Linked DNA regions of Ovis aries. The protein of the gene in region 3 interacts with the protein of the main gene of each other region in a pairwise test. Links are inferred from orthologs where the notes say so. Each region holds a gene or a part of one and is shown on either strand. Other genes may lie near its edges.

The links. The genes of interacting proteins can lie anywhere in the genome.
Region 1: the proteins of DAZAP2 (region 3) and EXD3 interact in binary tests that used the Homo sapiens proteins (3 or more experiments, as listed by UniProt). The two-hybrid records come from large-scale screens. The link is inferred for Ovis aries from reciprocal best matches to the Homo sapiens genes DAZAP2 and EXD3.
Region 2: the proteins of DAZAP2 (region 3) and POGZ interact in binary tests that used the Homo sapiens proteins (3 or more experiments, as listed by UniProt). The two-hybrid records come from large-scale screens. The link is inferred for Ovis aries from reciprocal best matches to the Homo sapiens genes DAZAP2 and POGZ.

Annotation. Positions count from the first base shown.
Region 1 is NC_056056.1:555,716-563,416, forward strand, and holds the start of EXD3 (exonuclease mut-7 homolog), read left to right. Parts: upstream 1-3,456; 5' UTR 3,457-3,485; intron 3,486-4,481; exon of another isoform or gene 4,482-4,517; intron 4,518-7,132; 5' UTR 7,133-7,358; exon of another isoform or gene 7,359-7,417; intron 7,418-7,701. Other genes in the region: NOXA1 (NADPH oxidase activator 1), read right to left, coding at 1-96, 883-965, 2,804-2,980. UniProt on the Homo sapiens protein: Possesses 3'-5' exoribonuclease activity. Required for 3'-end trimming of AGO1-bound miRNAs.
Region 2 is NC_056054.1:101,396,089-101,403,624, forward strand, and holds the start of POGZ (pogo transposable element with ZNF domain), read right to left. Parts: upstream 4,246-7,536; 5' UTR 4,115-4,245; exon of another isoform or gene 4,091-4,114; intron 1-4,090. UniProt on the Homo sapiens protein: Plays a role in mitotic cell cycle progression and is involved in kinetochore assembly and mitotic sister chromatid cohesion.
Region 3 is NC_056056.1:134,987,904-134,995,474, reverse strand, and holds the start of DAZAP2 (DAZ-associated protein 2), read left to right. Parts: upstream 1-3,441; 5' UTR 3,442-3,523; coding exon 3,524-3,536; intron 3,537-4,538; coding exon 4,539-4,657; intron 4,658-5,071; coding exon 5,072-5,317; intron 5,318-6,233; coding exon 6,234-6,362; 3' UTR 6,363-7,571. UniProt on the Homo sapiens protein: In unstressed cells, promotes SIAH1-mediated polyubiquitination and degradation of the serine/threonine-protein kinase HIPK2, probably by acting as a loading factor that potentiates complex formation between HIPK2 and ubiquitin ligase SIAH1.

The DNA of each region.
Region 1 (7,701 bases), about 130 Mb from region 3:
AGCTTGAACCGCAGGCCCAGCTGGGTGTAGTCAATAGCGGTGTTATCCCTCAGCTGGGCCAGGGTGCGCTGGAAGTCGGACAGGGCCTCCTGGAACCTGTGGGCAGTAGGGGAGCCTGGTGTGGGGGCCCTGGGCGGCCCCAGGGCAAGGGCTCCACCTTGGCCCGGACCCGGCCCCCGCCCCAGCCCCTCCTGCAGCACGGGGGCAGCGGCGGTCGGCAGGCCTCAGCACACGGGGTCCACACAGACGGGCTGTGCAGCATGTGGGCTCCTCCACCTGCACCGCAGGCCCTCTCCTGAACCTCGGGGTGCAGAGTGCCCTGCCTGCTTCCGGGGTCTCCGTCCCACAGGCCTCCCCACCCCGACCCCGGCTGGATGCCCCAACCCCAACCAGGATCCTCATTGCCCCGGGGCAGGCTTCCGGGCTGATGAGAAGGAGGTGACCCCAGAGCCCGCCCACCCTGTGTAGCGCCTTCTGTGGGCGCCGGGCCTGCCCTGCAGCTCTGATTCCTTCTCTGGGAAGGGCCTGGCACAGAGAGCCGCGTGGGCAGAGGACCCCCCGCCAACCCCGCCCAGTCCTGGGATGCACCATTCCTCCAGCCTTGCCCTGGGTTTCCCGAAGGCAGAATGGGCAGAATCATGCCGTCCCTGCAGTCCAGGGGGTAGGAACGGAGGAGGGGAGCCAGCAGAAGCGGTCTGTGACCCTCTTCCAAACAGAGCCCAGGGTCACTGTGCAGCCCGGCGTGGGGACAGAGAGACACGCCCCCACGTGAGCCCGGGGAGAGCTGGCCAGAGGAGGTGACCGTGGGCAGAGAGGAGCACAGGCAGGACTCTGCAGAGACGAAGGGCCGTCAGAGAAGGAAGAGGGCACGTCTGTGTTCACCTCTCCAGCTGGAAGTTGGCCACTCCGCGCTGGAGGAAGCCAACAGCCAAGCAGGCGTCCTTAGTCACCGCCCGGTCAAATGCCTGCGGACAGAAATGTCTGTGAACTGCTCAGGCCTGTAGCCCCGTCACCACCGTGTCACAGATGGGGATGCCCAGCAGTGGGTCAAGGAAGCCCGTCGGCCACATGACCGTCACCTGTAAGAGAAAGCCTCCCTCGCCTGCCCAGGGGCCTCTGGGTCCAAGGGGCGCAGGCGTCACGGCTTCAACGCAAACCTGCCTGGGCTCCCCAGGTGTTTTCTGATGGCTGCTCGGGGGTAGTTAGATGGCGGCACAGACCAGCTTGTTAACCACGAGGAGGAGGAAACGCTCCAGCACGTTGATAATAGTTACCTCCACGGAGGGAGTTATGTTAAGACTGTTGTCTCCTTCAAGCCCTAGCTTTGGTGGTTCACACAAAAAGACACACGTTTCATCTATTAGAGTCAGAAGGAAGAACAGCACGAAAGCCTTAATGTGCGTGTGAAGCCCAGCTCTTCCTGAAACTGAACTCAGAAATGATGCCGTCTGTTCCTAAGGACAGCAGCCATCAGGCAGACGCAAGCAAAAGGAGTGCACCCAGCAGCCACCAAGTTAAACACAGGCAACTGGAGGGTGTCACGGCCCCGCTCTAACAAACCTGGCCGAGCGCGGGCTTGTCGAGCTGAGTCTGACCGAGGCTGAGGGTCAGCACTCGGGCACTGATGTGGCCGCTCAGCACAAGGGAAACCCTTTTATCCTGCCACATAGAGTGGCCAGATAGGAGCTTTTGGGGGGCTCCTGCCAGAGACGGAGCCCCAGCTCCCCTCACCCTGTCCAAGTCAGCTTTATTGATTGTAGCCGTTCCATTTGCTTTTTAAATTTTTCCAACAAACATGCCTCTGCTACTCCATCTCCGATTAGGGTGGAGGAGAATTTAACGTGCACACCCTTGGCCTGGAACCTCTGTCCCCTCTTTCTGATTAAATCGAGGTTTAGGGGAGGTAGTGACTGGACTGGCATCATTCCACTGACCCCGTGGTGTCCAGGGGTGACATCCCCATTGCTGGATAACATTTTAACACTGACATTGCTGCTGAGATAACTGTAGATTCGAACACATATGTGAGGAACAACAGGGCATGCCCCTTGGACGTGTTTTCGGTTGACGTCGCCGTTGGCCTGGACAACGCGGGAACCTGGCTCTTTCTGGGGGCCCTTGGGGACCCAAGCAGTGAGCAGGGTGCTACTGCTTTTTGTCATCACCCATGGGATGTGCACCACTGTGATGAACCTGGAGGCTTGAAGGGCAGGGATGGCCCTGCCAGGCCCTCAGCAGAGGCAGGTGTGTGTGTGTGCCCGTGCATACATCTGGCTCTTGGTTCTGCTTTGGGGAGTGGGTGGGGGACAGGTGAGCACACGGATCTGGGGTTTAGGCCCCCAACCAGAGTCTGTCTCCTGGCCATCGCCACGGGCACCCGTGGCAACCCTCCGGCCCCATCCAGCCTCGAGCCTCTGTAGGCACCTTAGCACCTCCATCAAGAGCACCTGAGCCAGGGCTCACTTGGCCTTTCCACAGGACCGCAGAGCAGGGCAAACGGCCCCCACAAGTGGAGGCTGTGCTGGAGCCTTGCGACCCCATCCTGGCCCTGACGCAGCTCCACAGGGTCCCCCCGGACACACACAGGTCCCACCTGCTTAGGTGTTCGCTGCAGCAGAACGCTGGGGTGGGGGGAGTCTCCGGGTGGCCATCAGGGAAGAAGGGTGGGGGCCTTGGGCTCGCCCCTGCAGCTATCGCACCACGCATTGCCACCCCACCCCTCCAGCCCCCGCCACCAGGAGCAGAGAGCTGCATCCCCTGAGGTGAGGCCTCTGCGACAAAGCCTGGGGTCCCCCTGGCTCACCCGCAGCGCGGCCTCCGGGTCTCCGGCCAGCAGGTGCACGCAGCCCACGTTGAAGCTCACCCTGGCGGGCGGCTCCGAGACGCTCGAGAAGAGGCGCAGGGCGCAGTCCCAGTCCCCGCGCGCCACAGCCTGCGCGCCCTGGTGCCAGTCGCGCAGCAGGTCCCCGAGCGAGGCCATGGCGGAATGGACCTCGTCTGGCCCACGCGGAAGTCGGCGCTTCCCGGCCGGATCGCGGGAGGCGCAGGGGGCGGCCGTGACGGTCTTGCCGCAGGGGTGCTGGGGGAGAGGACCGCGGGGCCGGGGCCCCGGAATCCGGAGACCAGCGCGGGCCGAGGGAGCCCTTCGAGGCGGACAGAAGGGGCGAGGGCACCTCCGGCGCCAGGTACCAGGTGCGGGCGGGGCGGAGCGCGGAGCGCCAGGTGCCTCAGGTGCGCCGGGAAGGCCCGCAAGCCCCGCCCCGCAAGCCCCGCCCCGCCTGACCACGCCCCCACCGGAGGCCCCGCCCCGCCCCGAGTCGGCCCCGCCCCTCTGGACTTCCGCCCCGAGCTCCCGCGCCGGCGCTCTCCCGCCGCCGCTGCCGGCTCGGAGTCGGCTTCGGTGCGCTGGGGAAAACCATCCGGGCCCGCCTCTGGCGCCGCTGCCGCGGCCGCGCCAAGGTTCCGGGCGGCCCCTGCCGTGTCAGGTAAGGGGCCCCGCGGCCGGGCCGTGAAGCGGTGCCGGGGGCCTCGCGGGCCGGCGCTGGAGGCGGGCGCCGCTGGGAGGGCCCGGCGGCGGGTCTCCCGTGGGCCCCGGGTCGGCGCCGGAGGGGCGGCTGGGGGCGCGGCGCGGACGTTGGCCGCGGCCCCGGGCCGACGACCCTGGGGGGGCGTCTGTCAGGCCCTCAGCCCGCCGGGCGCGGCCCGAGACGCTCGAGCCCGGCCCGCGTCGGTGCCGCGCCGTGAACCCCGGAAGCCCCTTCCTCCCCGCCGCGAGAGCGGGAGCCTCCAGGGCCGTGCGCCCGCCCTGGGCTGACGCGGGCCGCCCTGCGGCGCTGGGGCTCTGTCCCGGCGGCGCCCTCTGCGTCCCGCGCGGCCCACTCTCAGCCCCGCGGTGCCCCAGGGCCTTCGCAGAGGGCGGCCGGCGAGGAGGACGCGCCCCTGCAGCTGCGGGGGCTGCATCTGCCTGAGGCGCCCGCGGGCTGGGGGAGCCGCAGCGGCCCTCCTCCTCGGGGGACCTGTCTTGGCTCTTTCGGCCTTCAGCTGACGGGATGAGGTCCACCCATGCCACGGGGGGTCTGCTTTCTATCGCTTTGTCCACTGTTTTAAATGTTGATCTCATCTGAAAGATGCTTTCACTGCAACATGTGACTCTGACCAAACACCTGGGCACCGCGGCCTTTCGAAGCTGACGCAGAAATGTTACCGTCAATGCAGGAAGCCTGGAAACTCTCCCGGACACAGGCTCTGCCCTTATGCCCGAGCATCCTCCAGGGTCTGGGGAGGTGTGTGTCCTGGGCGGCTGGCAGAGAGCCACCTGCCTCCGATCTGGGCACCCTCCCTGCTCAGTTGGGGCTGTGACTCTGCTTCCTTCCCTGAGGACAACAGTTGCTGAGGACAAGCCAGCCTGGCTGTGAGACGATTCTTGTCAACTGGGAAGGCCTCCTGGGCCGTGCAACCCCGAGGAGGCTGCTCTCTCACCAGTGGGGCGCTGAGGTTCCCAAACTGCTGGCCTGGAGGTGGGCAGAGCCCCCACCTCTCACGTACTCCTCTCCTCCCCGAATTCCCGTGTGGACGCTCCCTTCCTCAGACCAGACCTCCTGGCCCCCGGCCTCCCACAGCCCTGCTACGGGTCCTCAGGAACCTCGCAGCCCTGAGGATTTCTGAGCTCAGCTGCGCCCTCCCACCTGCCCACTTGGGCCTCGTTTTTCCTGCAGCCCCCTACCCACACCCATCCTTACAGCTCGTGCCCTCTACCCACAAACCCCCACCCACCAGTTCAGTTCACTTCAGTTGCTCAGTCGTGTCTGACTCTCTGCAACCCCATGGACTGCAGCACGCCAGGCCTCCCTGTCCATCACCAACTCCCGGAGCTTGCTCAAACTCATGTCCATCAAGTCGGTGATGCCATCCGACCATCTTTTCCTCTGTCATCCCCTTCTCCTCCTGCCCTCAATCTTTCCCAGAACCAGGGTCTTTTCCAATGAGTCAGTTCTTCACGTCAGGTGGCCAAAGTATTGGAGTTTCAGCTTCAGCATCAGTCCTTTCAATGAATATTCAGGACTGATTTCCTTTAGGATTAACTGGTTTGCTCTCCTTGCCGGCCAAGGGACTCTCAAGAGTCTTCTCCAACACCACAATTCAAAAGCATCAATTCTTCAGTGCTCACCTTTATAGTCCAACTCTCACATCCATACGTGACCACTGGAAGAACCATAGCTTTGACTAGACGGACCTTTGTTGGCAAAGTAATGTCTCTGTTGCCAAAGTAATATGCTGTCTAGGTTGGTCATAACTTTTCTTCCAAGGAGTGCCCCCCAAACTCTTGTCCAGCCCCTGGTCCCTCTGTCTGGGCAGGAGAAGCCTGGCCCCGCTGGCCTGTCTCTGTCCACAGTGGCCGCGAGCCTCAAGTGGGTCACGTGGCTCCTGCCCTGATGGCTCGCCCTCCCTGGCCCCTCCCTGGGCCCAGTGCCTTCCCTTCCCTCCTTGGCCTCACCTCCACCCATCCTGCCTCCCAGCTGGAAGGGGTCCCCGGCGCCTGCGCCCCAGATCTGCCTCCTCCCTCGGAGCACTGCCCTGTCCCCAGGATGTCTCCCTGGGGTGCCCCCCCAGGTGTCATTTCCCCTCTATGCAGACGTCCTGTGTTTCTTCCCACCTGAACAGAAGGCCCCCGCCCTCAGCCCCCGCGTCTCCTTGCTCCTTTACAGCCAGACTCCTTTTGAGAGTCGGCAGGACCCAGCGTCTCCATCTCCCTTGCCGGGCGCTTTTAGGTACTGAGATGCGCTTCACAAATCAGAAAGCTCGCTGTTGAATGTGCAATTCCATGCTTTTGTCAGATTCACAGAGCTGGGCCACCGTCGCCCCACGCATGCCCCGCTGCAGCCCCCCGCCCCGCCCCCATCATCCCTGCCCCCGGCGACCCGCCGTCCAGTGTCTGGGTTCACCTCTTCTGGACCATTCGTATGAACAGAGTCACAAAGCGTGTAGGTTTCTATCTGGCATCTTCCCCTCAGCATCGTGCTTGAGGTCTGCACACGTCGCAGGAGGGTCAGGGCTTCGTTCCTTTTCAGGCTGAGTCACTTCCGCTGTGTGGATGGACCCATTTTGTTGATCAAACGGACCCCCGCGGGGGCGCCTGGCACCTGTGAGTCGCGCTTGTGTGCGGGTGTTTCTGCAGCCTTGTGCTCTTGGGTGCACGCCCAGGAGAGGCGTTGCTGGGTCAGGCGCTCCCTCGGCGCAGCTCTTTGACCATCTTTCCATAATGCTTCTTATTCTTGATCCTGCCGGGGTGCCACCCAAACTCCTGCCGGGGTGTCTGGCGGCCTCCTCGTGACCCCTCCCCCCTCGGCGCCTGGCCTCTGGGACACATATCCTTTGGGTCTCCTGTATTCCCTGCCCCTTCCACCTCCTCTGGGCACCTGCTCCCCCAGGTCCCATGAATTACCCTCTGGCTGTCCTCTGTGCCCACTAATCTTGTGTTTTTCTATTTTCACAATAAAAGAATGAGAAAAGGGACTTCCCTGGCAGTCCAGCGGTTAAGACTCCACATGTCCAATGCAGCGAGCACAGGTTCAGTCCCTGTTCGGGGAACTAAAATCCCACATACCCTGAGGCACGGCCCCCAAAAATAAAGATGAAAGAGGTACCATTGCTGTGCCTGCCCCTGTGGTACTGTAGCTCTGCCCCCTGGTGGCCCAGAGCTGGAAGCAGCCTAGGTGCCCCTCGGGGGTGCTGGCCAAGCAGCGCCTGCGTCCACCACAGGAGCCCACTCTGCGAAAGGGTCGGGCACTGGGCACTCACAGCGACGCGTGTGTGTCTCAGGGGAGTGTGCCAAGTGAGCGCAGACGCACAGAGGCCAGACTGTGTGGTTCCATCCGTGCAACTTGCCTGAAGTGACAGGCGACGTGAGCAGAGATGCGCCCAGCACTGCCGGGGCCGCTCGCAGTCAGGGCCTCGGGGCGACTGCAGGGGCCAGCGAGGGCTCTCCTCCAACCCACACGGCGCCCTGCTTGGGATCTGGGGTGAAACATAGATGCGACGTCTCTTTATTATTTCTTACAAGTTATCTCGAAATGAAATGTTTAATTAAAAAATCCTTAAGAAGAGCTCAATTACAAGTTTTTCTGTTTTACAGATACCCTGAAAGTTGGAGTGATTCAGTGACCTCTAAGGTTCTTCCAGCTCTGAAGAAGGTGGTTCGGAAACACTTCGTTGTGTCTGAGCTGAAATCTACTCCCCAGTAGCAGTGGAGGCGTTGGGAGCGGCTTCCATCAGGACACTGTTCCAGCTCTGGCTGTGAGAGCTCCCGGCCGCTCACATCAGCAGCGCTGCTGAGACCGTTTGGAGCACACAGCTCACGCGTGAGTGTGTGAGGGAACACACGCTAGAGGGAGCCCAGGAGAGGGAACCGCTTGCTGAGGTAAGGACTCAGCTCAGAGGCCAGCTTAGCGCTGGAACTTGCTTCCCAAGAAACTTAATAGCTGGTTGATTCTGGAGCTCATGGGTCAGTCAGATGGGCAGGAGTTTTGGATATTTGGGAATTGATTTTAGCCCAAGACAAGAGGTTGGGGTTGTTGTTGTTGTTGTTGTTGTCCCCTTTTTAAACAATGGGCACATCCAAGGAAAAAGCCAAATGCCACATAAGATTCTTCTCTCGGAAAATAAATGGAGGCTCACGCGTGACAGAGGCACTTGGTGCCCAAG
Region 2 (7,536 bases), on a different chromosome or scaffold from region 3:
ATGAAATATTGCTATATGAGGGACTTCCTTGGCGGTCCAATGGCTAAGGCTCCATACTCCCAATGCAGGGGGCCCTGGGTTTGATCCCTGGTCAGGGACTAGATCCTGTATGCTGCAACTAAAGATTCTACATGCTGCAGCTAAGACCCGGAACAGCCTAAATAAACAATTCTTAAAAAATAAGGTAATGCTGCCGGAGACAGACAGTACATTCTGGATTGGTGGGGAGGAAAGCTCTATGCAGGCTCAAGTCTTCAGTGAAAACTTGAAAGAATTAGGGCTCAGATCTTGTCTTAAAGCACAGGTAGCATGTAGATAAGTGAAGGAAAGGAAGAAAAACATTCTAAGTGGGCAACAGAATGATCAAGGTACTGATCAAACTTACAAAGGTTAAATATCAGGTTAAATCATATAAAATTATTGGGGTTTTTGGGTAGGTAAAAAACAGTCAAATATGGGCAATTTCATCTTGTTCAACCTAATAAAAGTGACATCTGTGGCATGGTATACTGGAAGTTTCAACTGTATTGGAAATGTTCCTGTCTTTTGTACTGAGTAGTAGTAGATACATAAGTTCTTTACATGACTTCTTATTTCTTAAATATTTCACAATTATTAAAATAATTAAAAGAAAAGCAAAAAAAGAAAGTTAAGTCTCATCAAATAAATAACTCCTTTAGGTAACACTTTTTCTCTGGATGAAAATAACATTTCTCAGCAATCTCACATTTTCTCAGCATTCTCATACCTTCACCCTCTTTCCCAGCATTTATCCAAGTGTACCAGCAGGGCTTATCAACCATATGACAAAGGAGAGAACCCAGAGACCCCTCAAGTGCAGTGTCCTTTGACTCCTCTGCCTTTGGGGGCCATGTCCCCTCTCCACCTGGCCGCTCCTTGCCCTGTTGGTGTTTGCAGCTGAAATTTGTGCTTGGAGACCATACAGCTATGATCTGCGAGGGGGCCTTCCTCAGGGTGCTCAGGCCCTGTGGCCCTCCCTCAACCTCTTCTCAGCTCTCTGACTGTGGGTCCATGAGGCCCATGGCGCCCTGGCCCAGGGTAGCCGAAGCAGGTGGTTCCCTCTGCAGTGTTCACTCCGGGGTCACCTTGCCCTGAAAGTTCACCCCTCCAGCCACCAGCCAGAGAGTCAGTCACTGTGGCTTTCTCAGGAAAGCTGAATCTCCAGGCCTCCTGCCTGAGCACACTTCTGCACGGTGTCACAGAGCGGAACAGAGCCTCCCGGGCCTCCTGACGAGGGCCCAAGTAGGACCAGTCCCTGCCATTCCCTCCGATTCTATGATGCACCTGGGTCATCTCTACGCAGAAGCCTGGAGGGGAGAAATTGGGACACAAATCTGGCAGTTTCCCCCTTGTGCTTATTTCTTGTTCCCATCTTCCCATCATTCCCCAGGACCAAAAACATAGCGTCCTTCTGCCACTGAGCAGCAGGCATCGGGCCTGGCAGTCATACCCTCTGGGAGAACTTCCTGAATTAAGTTCCCCAAGTGGGGCTCTTCAGGGAGGCACAGGAATTCTCTTTTTCAAAGGGAATTTAGGAAATCCTCTTTCAAGCCACTAACCTGGGCTTATAAAGTTCTTGTCTTGCTATAAAATCCCATGTTGACTGTCAGAAGCCAAATATCTCAGTTATTTCCCCCTCATTCCTCTGTAACAAATCCTTATTTCCCCTAGGCAGATGAATGTCAAGGGCCAACTGAGGATCAAGTCATTTTCTCAGAAAGGGAAAAAGGAAAGCATGTTATTCTTCAAAAGATTACTTTTCTAATTGCACAAAAATTCTCCCCATCCCCTGTTGCTCTCCCTCAAAGAGCTCCAACGACTCTCATGACCCTTAAAGGTCAAACACCAAGATTTACTGGCAGGATTGGTACTCAAACATGAACAGCTAGCTGAATAGCAACCCTGACCCATGACGAACATGTACAGGAAATAAAACCAGTTAAGTAAGTTCACAGTGTTTGCTTTTCTTCTCTCCCAAAACACATCTGTGTACAGCTTTGTATACAATTTACCCAGGGGCTCCCCTTCCTACATCCACGTTTGCAATGACCCCTTCCTGCCTGGGAAATAAAATCTGTGGTGCACTTCAGATGCCAGTTAACAAGGCATGACTTACATAATCTATCTCACTGGTATCACAATTGCCTTTTAGGCAAGAGGTCTTTGGAGGAAAACACTCAGATTCCGTATTCAGTTAGTGAAAAAAAAAAAAAAAAAAAATGAAAGGAGAGACCAGGTAAAGAGTCCTGCCAATCACAAACCAGCACATTACTTACCCTCGTCTAAGCTCAGTTTCTTCAATTATGAGATAGGGTTATTAGGAGAATTCACTGACCCGATGCACGTAATTTGCTTAGCACAGAAAAGTGTTGAGAAATAGGTGTTAATGATAATCATCATTATTATTTTATTGTTATTACTGGGCCAGTGGCCCACTACTGATGATGGAAGTGTTTCCCTGCCATCAGCACCTTTACCCACACATACATGTGAGCCTTTTGATCCAAATGTTGAACTAATGAAAATGGCAGGAATGAAGTAAGCGTGTGTAATGGGGGCAAAAACAGAAATTTCAGTCAGAGACCATAGTCCTGATTAGCACAAAAGCAAGCTTCCCCCACTGAGAAGGGACAAAGTCAAATTCAAGCACTTCAGGCTCTCATATGATTTATATAGACCAATAAAAATATTTTAATAAACAATTAGGGAAAAGAAAAATGTTTATTTTAAAGTAAACATATATTAAAAAATAGACCCACAGGAATACTTGACCACATGATGTTCTAGTAACCCAGGCTTTCAGGTCTGCACTTCCGACAGCGCTTCCAGACGTGGAATGTGTCCAGGGCCCCGGGGTCACACGGTAATAGAAGAGCCATAGAGAAAAGAGGAGCTTGGCAGAATTCCCTTCATATTTTAAGCTACAGCTTTCTTTACTGAAATAATAGCTTTCAAGACACAAATTGTTCACAAGCCATTAATAGTATATATTAAGATGGGAAGATAAGCAAGAAGAATAACTAAGTCTGGCCTATTCTTTAAATGGGGACATCCTTGGTGGCTCAGACAGTAAAGAATCTGCCTGCAATGCAAGAGACCCAGGTACCATCCCTTGAAAATTCCCTGGAAAGGGGAATGGCAACCCACTCCAATATTCTTGCCTGGAGAAGTCCATGGACAGAGGAGCCTGGCAGGCTACAGTCCACGGGGTCTCAAAGAGTTGGATAGGACCAAGCAATTAACACACACACTCTTTAAATGAAACACTGCCTAAGTAGAGCGGAATGAAGTAGATGACTTTTCAAACCCTTCTAGGTCTCTTAACATAATTCCATTGTCTATTGCAGTGGTTTTGCAGACATTTTTTTGACAACACACAGCAAGAAATATATTCTACTTCTTGATCTGGTACATGCAAACATGATACTGGTTTCATGAAAGAATACTGACTCTTAGTACATAATGTTTTTCTACTCTTTTACTCGGGCTCCTTCCTTCCTTCCCCTTTCTTTCTCCCTCCCTTCCTCTCTAAAATTCCTTGCCAAACTGATTTTTGCCACTTATAATCTTAAAAAATACAGGCCTACTGGGTTTTTCTAATCACTACATATTTCTGCAGGTGAGTTTACCCATCCCGAATATGGATAGAATTCAGCCAACTTCCCAGGACAGCAGTTTCTAGGTTTGACTTTGGTCTCTAGGATATTTAATAAGTCATTCCCAGGGGATCTTGTTTTCTCTATAGCTGAAGGTAAGGATTTAGGAGCCTGGGGGAAGAAGGGATTCAGATGAGAATCAACAGAAGGAACTGCAAGGTCTGAAGACAAGAACCATTCATCTGGTACAATATATTTTGTTAATTTAAGAAAAACTCTTATCTTAAATATTTAGCATCATCAAGCACCTTTTACAGTTAACCCAGCAAACAAAGCTCTGGCTTGGAGGCCCAATCATTTATTTTCACTGAAAAGAGACCTCTTTTCTAAAAGCCAGGTCCCATCCCCCGCCCCCAGAGCCCCGACCCCTCCCAGGCCTCGGGTAACTTTTCCCTCCAGTTTGGTGGAAGGTTACATTAGAAGAAAATAGTCCCTACCGTCTAGAAACTTTTCAGGGGAAAAGAGGGCGTTTGACGTGTGGGTGGGTGTGCGGAAAGCGCCAGCAGGAGCAGCGGGAGCGGCGAACGCCGGGGGCTGGGCTGCAGACGGGTGCGGAGGCGCCAGCGGCGGGGGCGGGACGGGGCGGGGGTAGCGAGGCGGGGCGCAGGGGAGACGTAGCCCTGAACTCTCCCAAAGGGCAGTGGCTGCCGGCTCTCCTCGGTTGAGCGGTCTCTGCCCGCGAGGGGGCGCTGGCGGCCGGGGAGTTAAGGATGGGGCCTTGGCCTCCCGAACCCAGTGAGTGGCTTGGGTTGTCAAGACTCGTCTTTTTTTTGATAATTTCTTTTTGTCATGATGGTCTTTTGGCCTCCGACTCCGTGAAGGGAGCCATATTAAGAGTGCAGAAGAGGTGACCTGGAGGAAAAATTAAAAGGCGACTTTTAAACATAGAGTTTTTCTTTCTTTTCTCTCTCAAATTAATTTAGATGTAAATTACATTTGGAAAGATCAGGCTGCAAGGCTCTCATTTACCCTCACCAGATACTTAGAATAAGATTTCGGTGTGATAGTAATTTTGCCAGTGGAGGCCGACTCCCCAAAACATCACCCTGGTAAGTAATGAACATTTCCATGGGTTATGACTTTGAGGTTTTGTTTTACTCCATTCTAATACATGGCCTTTCTAAAAGTGCTTAGATCATAACTCAGCCCAGGTTTAATTAAAGTTATTTTTGAAAAATCTCGATGGGTAGGTAATTTACCTAGCTTCTCATTCAGATTGAGGAAATTTTGCTTAATTGCTGCATGCATTTCTAAGTATCTTTTGCCATGCTGTTTTTAGTGTGGATGGAAGACAGTCTCTCTCTTTCCTGGTTGGTATGTCAACAAACATTTGAGGAGTGTTTAGTTCAGAATACTGTTGGGTATTAAGCATTAAATGATCTGATATACCTGTCAATTTCATCAGAAACAGCATTTATGTATACATATAGTCTATATCGGGCTTCCCAGGTGGCACAGTGGTAAAGAATCCGCCTGCCAGTCCAGGAGATGCAAGAGTTGCAGGTTTGATACTTAGGTCGGGAAGATCCCTGGAGAAGGAAATGGCAACCCACTCCAGTATTCATGCCTGGAGAATTACATGCGCAAAGGAGCCTGGAAGACTACAGTCCATGAGGTCAAAAAGAGTCAGATGCGACTGAATGCACACACACATACACACACACACTCACACTCACACATCTATACCATGCTATACACCAGAACACACACACACACGTCTATACCACGCTATACACCAGAAATCTTTGTGAAATGTAGACTCAAATTAGAGACCTTGTTTTATTTTGCAATGAAATGGAGTTAATCTCATTGCAGTGTTGTGTAGATTTTAAGATACCTAGGATATAATAGGGACTCATTAACTGATAACTATTTATTATTTATCTAGATATGCTCCAAAGTGCTTTGCTCATGGCAAACAGTAAATACTGGTTGAATGAATGAACATGGCATGTTCCTTACTATATACGTAGGGAAAACACCAGGATGGGGATCCAGTAGTGCAATGACGTCATCAATGAAGCTTAGCATGGAGGTGTCTGCCCTAAAGCCCTTTCACCAGATGCAGGCTCTCTTGACCTTGGAATGTGGATTACTTAAACTTAAAATTTTAGGGGGAAAAAAATGGGTGCCTACTTGACTAGTAGGCCCTCGCCTCTTGTTAGTATGGAGCTTGAGAAGTTTTCTTAAATGTGGAAAAGCTAAGCTCACTTGACACAAATCAGGGGGAAGAAAGGTTTCTACAAGTTATTCAAGTTATTCATGTCAAAAGCGATTAGTGGGCCCCAGCTTCCATTACATCATTCACTGGGAGAGTGTAGGCTGGGAGCTCTGCAAGTCACATGATTCCATGGAGGAATTAAGGCTGAATTTTCTTTTGTGTTTCTGCCCTTAGCTATATTCAGTAGTAAGCATGTTTGGAAAAGGTTAAAACAGAACATGGAGCTCTAGTTTATTTTAATGCTGTCAGACTGCAAAGCAGTGGAAACTTGCTGAAGAGATTTACCAAGCTGTTTCCTTAAAGACTTTAGTGAATTAATTAAAAGGATTCTGAGAGATACAACATGCCAGACCCCTACTGGCTCATAAAATTGTTCTTTCTGATTGATGTGACTTGACAGCTAAGCACAGCGCATGTAAAGCTGCAGGGGAATAAAACAAGAGTAGTGCTGATGTGTTCAAAAGACATGTGAGTGTTCCGCTTGAATTGGCTGTGACCACAGAGTCAGCTGGACACTGTGCTCGTTTCCTTTGGCTCAAGTACCCGAGCTCCGTAGCAGCTCAGATTTGGCAAGGTGCTCAACCACTGAGTGAAAATCAAGTCACAGCTTCAGAAGAGATTCACAGATGGCGATGTGTAGGTATTCTGTTTCATGTTTTAGTCATTGCCTTTAGAGTGCCTGCTTTAAGGTGGTACTCGGTTACGGAACCATGCCTGCGCCACGGTCTCCAGAGGGACTGAGCCACAGGTGAACTGTGTTCTTTAGTAGACAAATATCTCAGACAAGCAGATGGGTCGCAGAAGTATTCTAAAGTTTTTAGCCAAATTCTGGGCAATGTTGGGTCTAACTGATTTAGAAAACACATTCTTTTTCAGCCAACAGTGAAGCCAAGATTGTTAACAATATGATCCAACACTGAAAGCCTTCATCATTAATACATACCTGCAGTCAGAATTTGAATGTGACCTGGCCAAATATATTTACTCATTGAATGCTTATTTAAATAAGTGGTAGGCCTTGGAGATACCTCAGTTCTTATATTCTCTCATAGTGCTGTTTAGTAGGAGCATAATGTGAGCCATATAAATAATTTAAAATTTTCTGGTAGCCACATAAAGACATTAAAAAGAAACCAATCACATTAATTTTAATAATGTATTTTATGTCCACCAACTATATAGATATCATTTTAATATGTAGCAATATAGAAATTATTAATATTTGCATTCTTTATTCTGAATTGTTTTCTAATTCAGTGTGTGTTTTACACTTAGAGCACATCTCACATTGCACTGCTCAGATTCCACATATGACGAGTGATGTTGGGCACCCCAAGTCTAGAGGGAAACACAGAGGAGTAAAAAGGTAATTTCAGTAAGACGTAATAAAGGCAATGATGAGAGAAGTGTAAGGTACAATGAGAACACATAGAAAGGGCTTAGTTCCTTTCGTCTTCCACCTGAAATTTCCATACTTTTCTCTGCTCCTCTGTATTCTTCCTGCCACCATGCCAATCCAAGCTGGCATCATCTCTTTCCTTGATTTCCCCAACAGCCTCCAAAATTGTCTGCCTGCATTCACCCACGGCCCTCTCTGCAGCTACAGTGGTCTTTTGAAAATGACCGTGTGGGACTTCC
Region 3 (7,571 bases):
ACCTGGGTTCGATTCCTGGGTTGCAAAGATCTCCTTGAGAAGGGAATGGCTATCCACCCCAGTATTCTTGCCTAGAGAATTCCATGGATGGAGGAGCCTGCAGGGCTACAATCCATATAGTCGCAAAGTGTTGGACACGACTGAGCGATTAACACACACAGAGCCTGACCAGAATTTACAATCTGATTATCAGCTTGGCCCACTTCCCCTCTGCCTTCTCAGGCTCCTCTTTGCTTTTTTCCTTCCTCAAAACAGAGTTTAGATTTAGAGCAGGAGGTGACACAAGAATCATGTGAATTTTTTGGCAGATGATGAAACTGAGACCCTTGGGAGGCAACAGATTAAAAACAAGGTAAACAGATTAAACAATGTATTAATAAACACTAGAAACAAGGCTTGTAAATCAAGCAAAGCTGAGACTGAACACTGGCTCTGTAGCAGTGTAACTTAGTTCAGCTATTTAACCTCTCGGAAATACAGTCCTCTTGCCTGAATGTTTCCTCTGTCTGTTATGGACACAAAGTGCATAGCGTCTGCAAGGACACTGGTGTAGATTCTGATTCCTATATGACAAGGAACAAGCGCAGCAGAGAAGATGAGGACCAAAGTCAGTTAGCTGGTGACACAGTGATGACCAGAACTAGCATCCCTCTCCTACATTCTCACTGACATGGATTGCTATGAAAGGGAAGTTGCTCAGTCGTGTCTGACTCTTTGCGACCCCATGAAGCCTACCAGGCTTCTCCGTCCATGGGATTTTCCAGGCTAGAGTACTGGAGTGGGTTGCCATTTCCTTCTCCAGGGGCTCTTCCTGACCCAGGGATCAAACCCCAGTTTCCTGCATTGCAGGCAGACGCTTTGCCCTCTGAGCCCCCAGGGAAGCCCGACATGGTTTGCTATAGTCAACACAATTTCAGGGTTCCTAACTGGGGGTCCAAATAAGGGCAGTTCCTTTCTTAGGTTCATTGCTGTATTGTCTGAGGCCCTGGGCACAGGGTAGGATGGGTATAGATTAGTGACCTCTCCAGTTTCAGGCTTTCGGGTGGTTTAGGATCTAAGTTGTAAAAGTTAGGTTACAAGGGAGAAGATTGACTGATCTGACCTCCAAGGACTTATTCTTTCAAATTTACCAATTAGTGACTGCAAATTTCATGCTAAGAAAAATGCAAGACCCTAAAAGTCCACTTAAACAAACAAACCCCAAAACAGTGTTTTTCAAAGTGTGAGTCCTGACTTGTTAGTAGGATGTGAAATCACAACCAGAATTGAAAAAAGGAAATAAGAGAGATTAGAAAATATGAGAGTGCATTGTATACAGAAGGATAGATATCAGGTCATAAAATTTCCAGTTACATATAATTCCACATATTTATTTATGTGTGTGTACTGGGTCATGATTTAAAGTTTATTACTTTAAATTACTGTGAATTTTGCTCAAAAAACTTTGCAAGCCCCTTTACCAGAAGGTGAATTCAGGAGAGCAAGAGCTTTGTTTTCTTTTAGAACAGTGCTTGGCATTTTTCAGTGTTCTCCAAAGAACTGTTGAATGAGTGAATATCTAACACTGTGCCTGCCTTCAAGAAGATTAGTCAGAAATACAAGAAAAGGTAAATATCAGAGGCTTTATCATACTAATAATACCAGCCTGAACCAAATAAATAATATGAATTTAAAGAAAGGGAAAAAACCTAAAAGAACTCCAAATACAGTCTTGGATATTGTGCTTTTAGGGCATTTTAGTTGTGATAGGCTGGAGAAGGCAATGGCACCCCACTCCAGTACTCTTGCCTGGAAAATCCCATGGACCGAGGAGCCTGGTGGGCTGCAGTCCATGGGGTCGCTAAGAGTCGGACACGACTGAGCGACCTCACTTTCACTTTTCACTTTCATGCAGTGGAGAAGGAAATGGCAACTCACTCCAGTGTTCTTGCCTGGAGAATCCCAGGGACGGGGGAGCCTGGTGGGCTGCCGTCTATGGGGTCGCACAGAGTCGGACACGACTGAAGCGACTTAGCAGCAGCAGCAGCAGCAGTTGTGATAGGCAGAGTAAAGGGATAAGAACAAAACAAAACCAAACCACTGATTTGGGAACCGGGGTGGGGGTGGGGACCAAGATAACACACCTGACTTTGTAACCTGTTCACTGTGTGACTTAGGGCAAATCTCTCATTTGAAAAACAGAAATGCTTAAACAAGCCCTGCCTGCCACACAGGGCTGTTGTGAAGATCTGTGATGACTCCATAAAATCATGCATATTAATGGTGTCCTGCAAACTGTAATTTGACACTGGAGAGAAAAACAGCGGACTGCTGATGAAGTGAGTACTGGTCTTTTCAGTGGTTTAAGTCATTCAACAGCAAATATGGATCAGGTTGCTAATGTTTACCGAGGGTTTTTCTTTTCAAAGCTTTCTTTTCAGATGCTTTTCTAATGTTCTTCCTACACTACAGAATGTAAACCATGAGAAAATAGCCTTGGGCTGTCTTGTTCAGCTCCATCTCTGTACCTGAACACAGCAAGCGTTCAGCAAATATCTTAAAGAATGGAAGCAATTGTTGCCTTAAAGGATGGCATCTTTGCTCTTAAGAACGATTAAGTTAGAAGAGAAGGGATACACAGAGAAAATACCTATCAGGTACCATACAGGTGTCTGTGACAGGTATCAAAGTAAGGGCCAGGGCATGGGTACTCCTTGGGTACCAAGAACATGCGTTTTAGTGCTAGCTGTTGCAGCGGGGTGGGGCGGGGCACAGCACAGCATACCCTTTCTGTCGGTGAGAAAGCGACACAGAAATAAAACACCGACAGCCTATCGGTAGAATAGAAAGGCAGTGAAGACTTGAGTGAGGGGAACGAGAGATAGATCAAGGGTTGCGAAGCATCTCAGGCAGTTAGGTAAGATTGTAGAAATCTATGTCCCGTGTGTGTGTGTGTGTGTGTGTGTGTGTGTGTGTGTAGGAATCTATGTCCCGTGTGTGTGTGTGTGTGTGTGTTAGTTTCCGGTTCGGTCCATGGGAAATGGCAACCCACTCCAGTATTCTTGCCTGGAGAATCTCATGGACAGAGTCGCACAGAGTCGGACTCGACCGATGAGACTTAGCAAGCATGCATGCCCCTTGTAGAAAGGCTGTCAAGGTGAGGTGACCTTGAGGTGCTGAACGTAGGTGGAAAAAGGTTCCAGAGAATAGTTTAATGTTACTGCCTCCGAGCGTTCAAGAGAGAGAAGATCCCGTTTTGAGACAATACCTGTATTTGGTTTTCCTTCAGCCGAGGGACAAGGGTAGGGGTTGGAGGACCAGACCCGGTGGGCGGGGCCTACGCGAGCGGACGGGATCACGCGGGCCCTCCCTCCTGCAACCGGCGGCCGGGCGAAGGGGCGGGGTTTCCGGTGGCAGCGGCACTCGGGCGTCGGGTGACGCTAGGCGGACAGATCGTCACGTGACACGGAAGTGACTACGAACAGGAAGAGGACGAAAAAAATAACCGTCCGCGACGCCGAGCCGAGCCGGACCCGCAGCCACCATGAACAGCAAAGGCAAGGATAGGGGGTGGCTGAGGCCGCCGGGGGGACTAGTGCTGGCCCGGAACGAGCGGGCCCGGAGCCCAGGGTCACCGAACGCCAGGCCTGGGGCGAGGTGCGCCGCGCTCCTGAGCCAGCTGCAGTGCCCGGGGCTGCGCCAGACACCTTCGTCATTCCCGAACTACGGCCGTTCGCTCCCTCACGGCCCTTTCTCCCTTAAACTCTGTGGCGCAGTTTGGAGCTGCGGACTCGGGTTGGGGGGGGGCTGTTGGGTGGGTGGGTTGGGGGGGTGGGGAGAAGGTTTGTCGTGATGGGCATCTGTAGGAGCAAATGGGGAGCTGGAGGCGAGATTTGGGTAGGCCAATGGAGAACTGGCAGAGGCGGGGCGCCGCGCTCCGGAACCACAGGCAGGCCTCCGGGCTTAACTAGTAAAGTGCCGCTCTGGTGGGCGGGCCAGTCGGGCCCGAAGGGGGTCTCTTCCCCCTTACCCTCGCTGGCGGCCAGAAAGTCTCCCGGTTTCTGTGTCAGAACATTCCCTTCAGCCCCCTCCACGATCTCAGCATTCACTTCCACCACTCACTCTTTTCATTTGGAAGTCGACCTTGAGTAGGAACCTGTGAGGTCGATGACCACAACCACCGTTACTCACGAGGTCTTGGTCAGTTACAACCAGACCTTTGGAGACCACGCAGGACAGGGAGACAGGACACACCGTTGAAATACCGGCTAGAGGGGATGCCCAGAACTGCCCTGCGTTCTGAGAGGATCTTGGGCCCAGCTAGACTTTCCCCTTACAGCAGTCGGCTACTGGATGTCCAGTTGGAATCCAGCTTCTTCAGCTTTAAGGGTGCAACGAGAATGCTTATTTTCTTGGCTCCAGGAATCAGGCCCTCTAGGGCAGTCTGTTTGGAAATCTCTTTTTGCTTATCCCAGCTAGATTAGCTACCCAATATGCCCTGCTTTGTTTTGGTGACTGTATGGTAGACAACATGCTTTTTTTCCCCCCTTGTCTTCCAGGTCAATATCCAACGCAGCCAACTTACCCTGTGCAGCCTCCTGGGAACCCTGTGTACCCTCAGACCTTGCATCTTCCTCAGGCTCCACCCTATACTGATGCTCCACCTGCCTACTCAGAGGTGCTTCCAGTTAACTTAATAATGGAATACTCTTGGATCATGTTTTCGGTCCTTGGCCAAGTCTGGCTCCACACATTTATTTACTTTCCACAAACAGAAGAGAGTGCTCACATGAATCATCTTAAAACGTGACATAGTTCAGCCATTTCTTTTGGGTTTGAGAAGGCATTATCTGATTGTTTTATGTTATTTGGCACTGGCTGAAGTTAAGAAGATGAGTTTGCATTCCCTGAGCCTAACATTAGCTATAGCAGGAAGTGATCCAGGAGAATATTGAGTGGCAGTGGAAAGGCAACTTGTGTAACTCAAAGAGTGTAATCTGCACAAGGAGAATTAAGACTTGACTCATTAAATTGAGATCTGAAATAGGAATGTCATGAAGTAACTTATTGCCTTCTCTTCTGCCTCTTCTAGCTCTATCGTCCGAGCTTTGTGCACCCGGGGGCTGCCACCGTCCCCACCATGTCAGCTGCATTTCCTGGCGCCTCACTGTATCTTCCCATGGCCCAGTCTGTGGCTGTTGGACCTTTAGGTTCCACAATCCCCATGGCTTATTATCCAGTTGGTCCCATCTATCCACCTGGTTCAACAGTGCTGGTGGAAGGAGGGTATGATACAGGGGCCAGATTTGGAGCTGGCGCTACTGCCGGAAACATTCCTGTGAGTATGACTTGGTCACAAAAAAGCTCGACCCTTGTGTATTTTAACTTTCTGAAATGACTGGTCATCCTTTCATCATCCCTGGGTAATAGTTGCTGGTATTGGTGTAATAATCACTGACGTCCAGTAGTCAGGCAGAAAGCACTCAAAGGGGCAGGAGAACCGTGGCCAGTCAGTAACATCTGGCGTACTCACTGATGTTAGAATTTATCAGATTCCTTTGTTTTCCTGTCTTAGGAGTCCTGCCTGCTGCTTTTCCAGTTCACTTTGATACTAGTTTAGTAACACTCCTCATTCATTCCATAAGCATTTATTTATATGTGCCATCAGCATGGCATCGTATTAGGAACCATGACGATTAAAAAAACAATGCATAATCCCTATTAAATTGCATTTAGAGAGATACTAGGGATTTTAGCAATGTCTCTTGATTAGTTCCCCTATGTATGGGAATTAGAGCCCATATGGTCCTTGCTAGGACCATCTACTCAATAACCATAGGCTAGGGATGAAGTGAAAATGCTGTCATCAGGTAGAGCCTTCAGATTATCCAGGGCCATTTGAAAACTGTCAGGCCCTGTGATATAAGTCCCTGGACCTGGTACCCGCTCCGTTTTGGGATGTGAATAGGAGTGATTTTCTGCACTGAAAATGCCAAGTCTGGACTTCCCACACTTAGAAGGTATCCATAGGCTTTATTTTGGATCCAGAACCCTTTAAATGAGTGGGTTTCCTGTTTATATCTTTGGCCTTACAAAGAATGTAGACCTGCTGGACTCAGATTGGTGGCCCAGATAGCTCTTTGAGATGCCGCTGGTTAGCACACTGCCATCTTCCTGATTGGTCCTTTTTCACCTTTGTCCACTTCCCTCCCATAGCTGCCCTCTGCCCAATCAACCTTGTCTTTTCCTTTCAGCCTCCTCCCCCTGGATGCCCTCCCAATGCTGCTCAGCTGGCAGTCATGCAGGGAGCCAATGTCCTCGTAACTCAGCGGAAGGGAAACTTCTTCATGGGTGGCTCAGATGGTGGCTACACCATCTGGTGAAGAACCAAGGCCATCTCTATGCCGGGAAAGACATCACATACCTTCAGCACTTCTCACAATGTAACTGCTTTAGTCATATTAACCTGAAGTTGCAGTTTAGACACATGTTGTTGGGGTGTCTTTCTGGTGCCCAAACTTTCAGGCACTTTTCAAACTTAATAAGGAACCATGTAATGGTAGCAGTACCTCCCTAAAGCATTTTGAGGTAGGGGAGGTATCCATTCATAAAATGAATGTGGGTGAAGCAGCCCTAAGGATCTTCCTTTAATTCCTCTGGAGTAATACTGTACCATACTGGTCTTTGCTTTTAGTAATAAAACATCAAATTAGGTTTGGAGGGAACTTTGATCTTCCTAAGAATTAAAGTTGCCAAATTATTCTGATTGGTCTTTAATCTCCTTTAAGTCTTTGATTTATATTACTTGTTATAAACGAACCGCATTAGTTGTCTGCCTTTTTCTTTCCGTCCTTTGCCCCTGGTCCTACCCTCAACCCTTGTCTTCCACTCCTTCCCACCAATCTCCATTGAATCAATGGTGCAGGACAGAAAGCCAGTCAGACTAATTTCCTTCTCTCCTTGCACTTCCCCCCACTTGTCATCTTTTAACTAGTCTTTCACAAAGGATCCTCTGAAACCCCCTCTGTGCCCCAAGCACAGGACCCATTGCTTCTGCTTTTGCATCTCCTCAGGCAAAAGCGGAGGGTGCCTTTTGGACCCTCCTCATAGGTTTTCTCTTCAGACATGAACCAAGCCCAAATTTGTTCTGGTGCCAGAAAAACTGAACCTTGTTTTAACAAAGGATATCAGTGCAAACTACCGTAAACAGCAGTCTTTATAATTTTGAGGGGCAAGGAAGAGGATGCATTTAAAAGCCTGATGACTCTGGAGCCAAATTAAGGGGAGTTTGCAGATCAGAAATTGGTTACCATTTCTTGTCAGTGTCTGATGTAGCCACTTATGGCTCCCAAGAATTCCTCAGCTGGGTTAATGGGGTCATATTGTGAATGCCTCACTACTAAATGACTTGAGTCCAGTGAAATCTCATTAGGGTTAAGAATATTTCAGGGATCCTTAATATTTTGATTTTTGTTTTCTAAAATTGGATTTTATTTTATTTTATCTTATAATTTCAGTTCATCTAAATTTGTGTTCTGTACATGTGATGTTTGACTGTACCATTGACTGTTATGGAAGTTCAGCGTTGTATG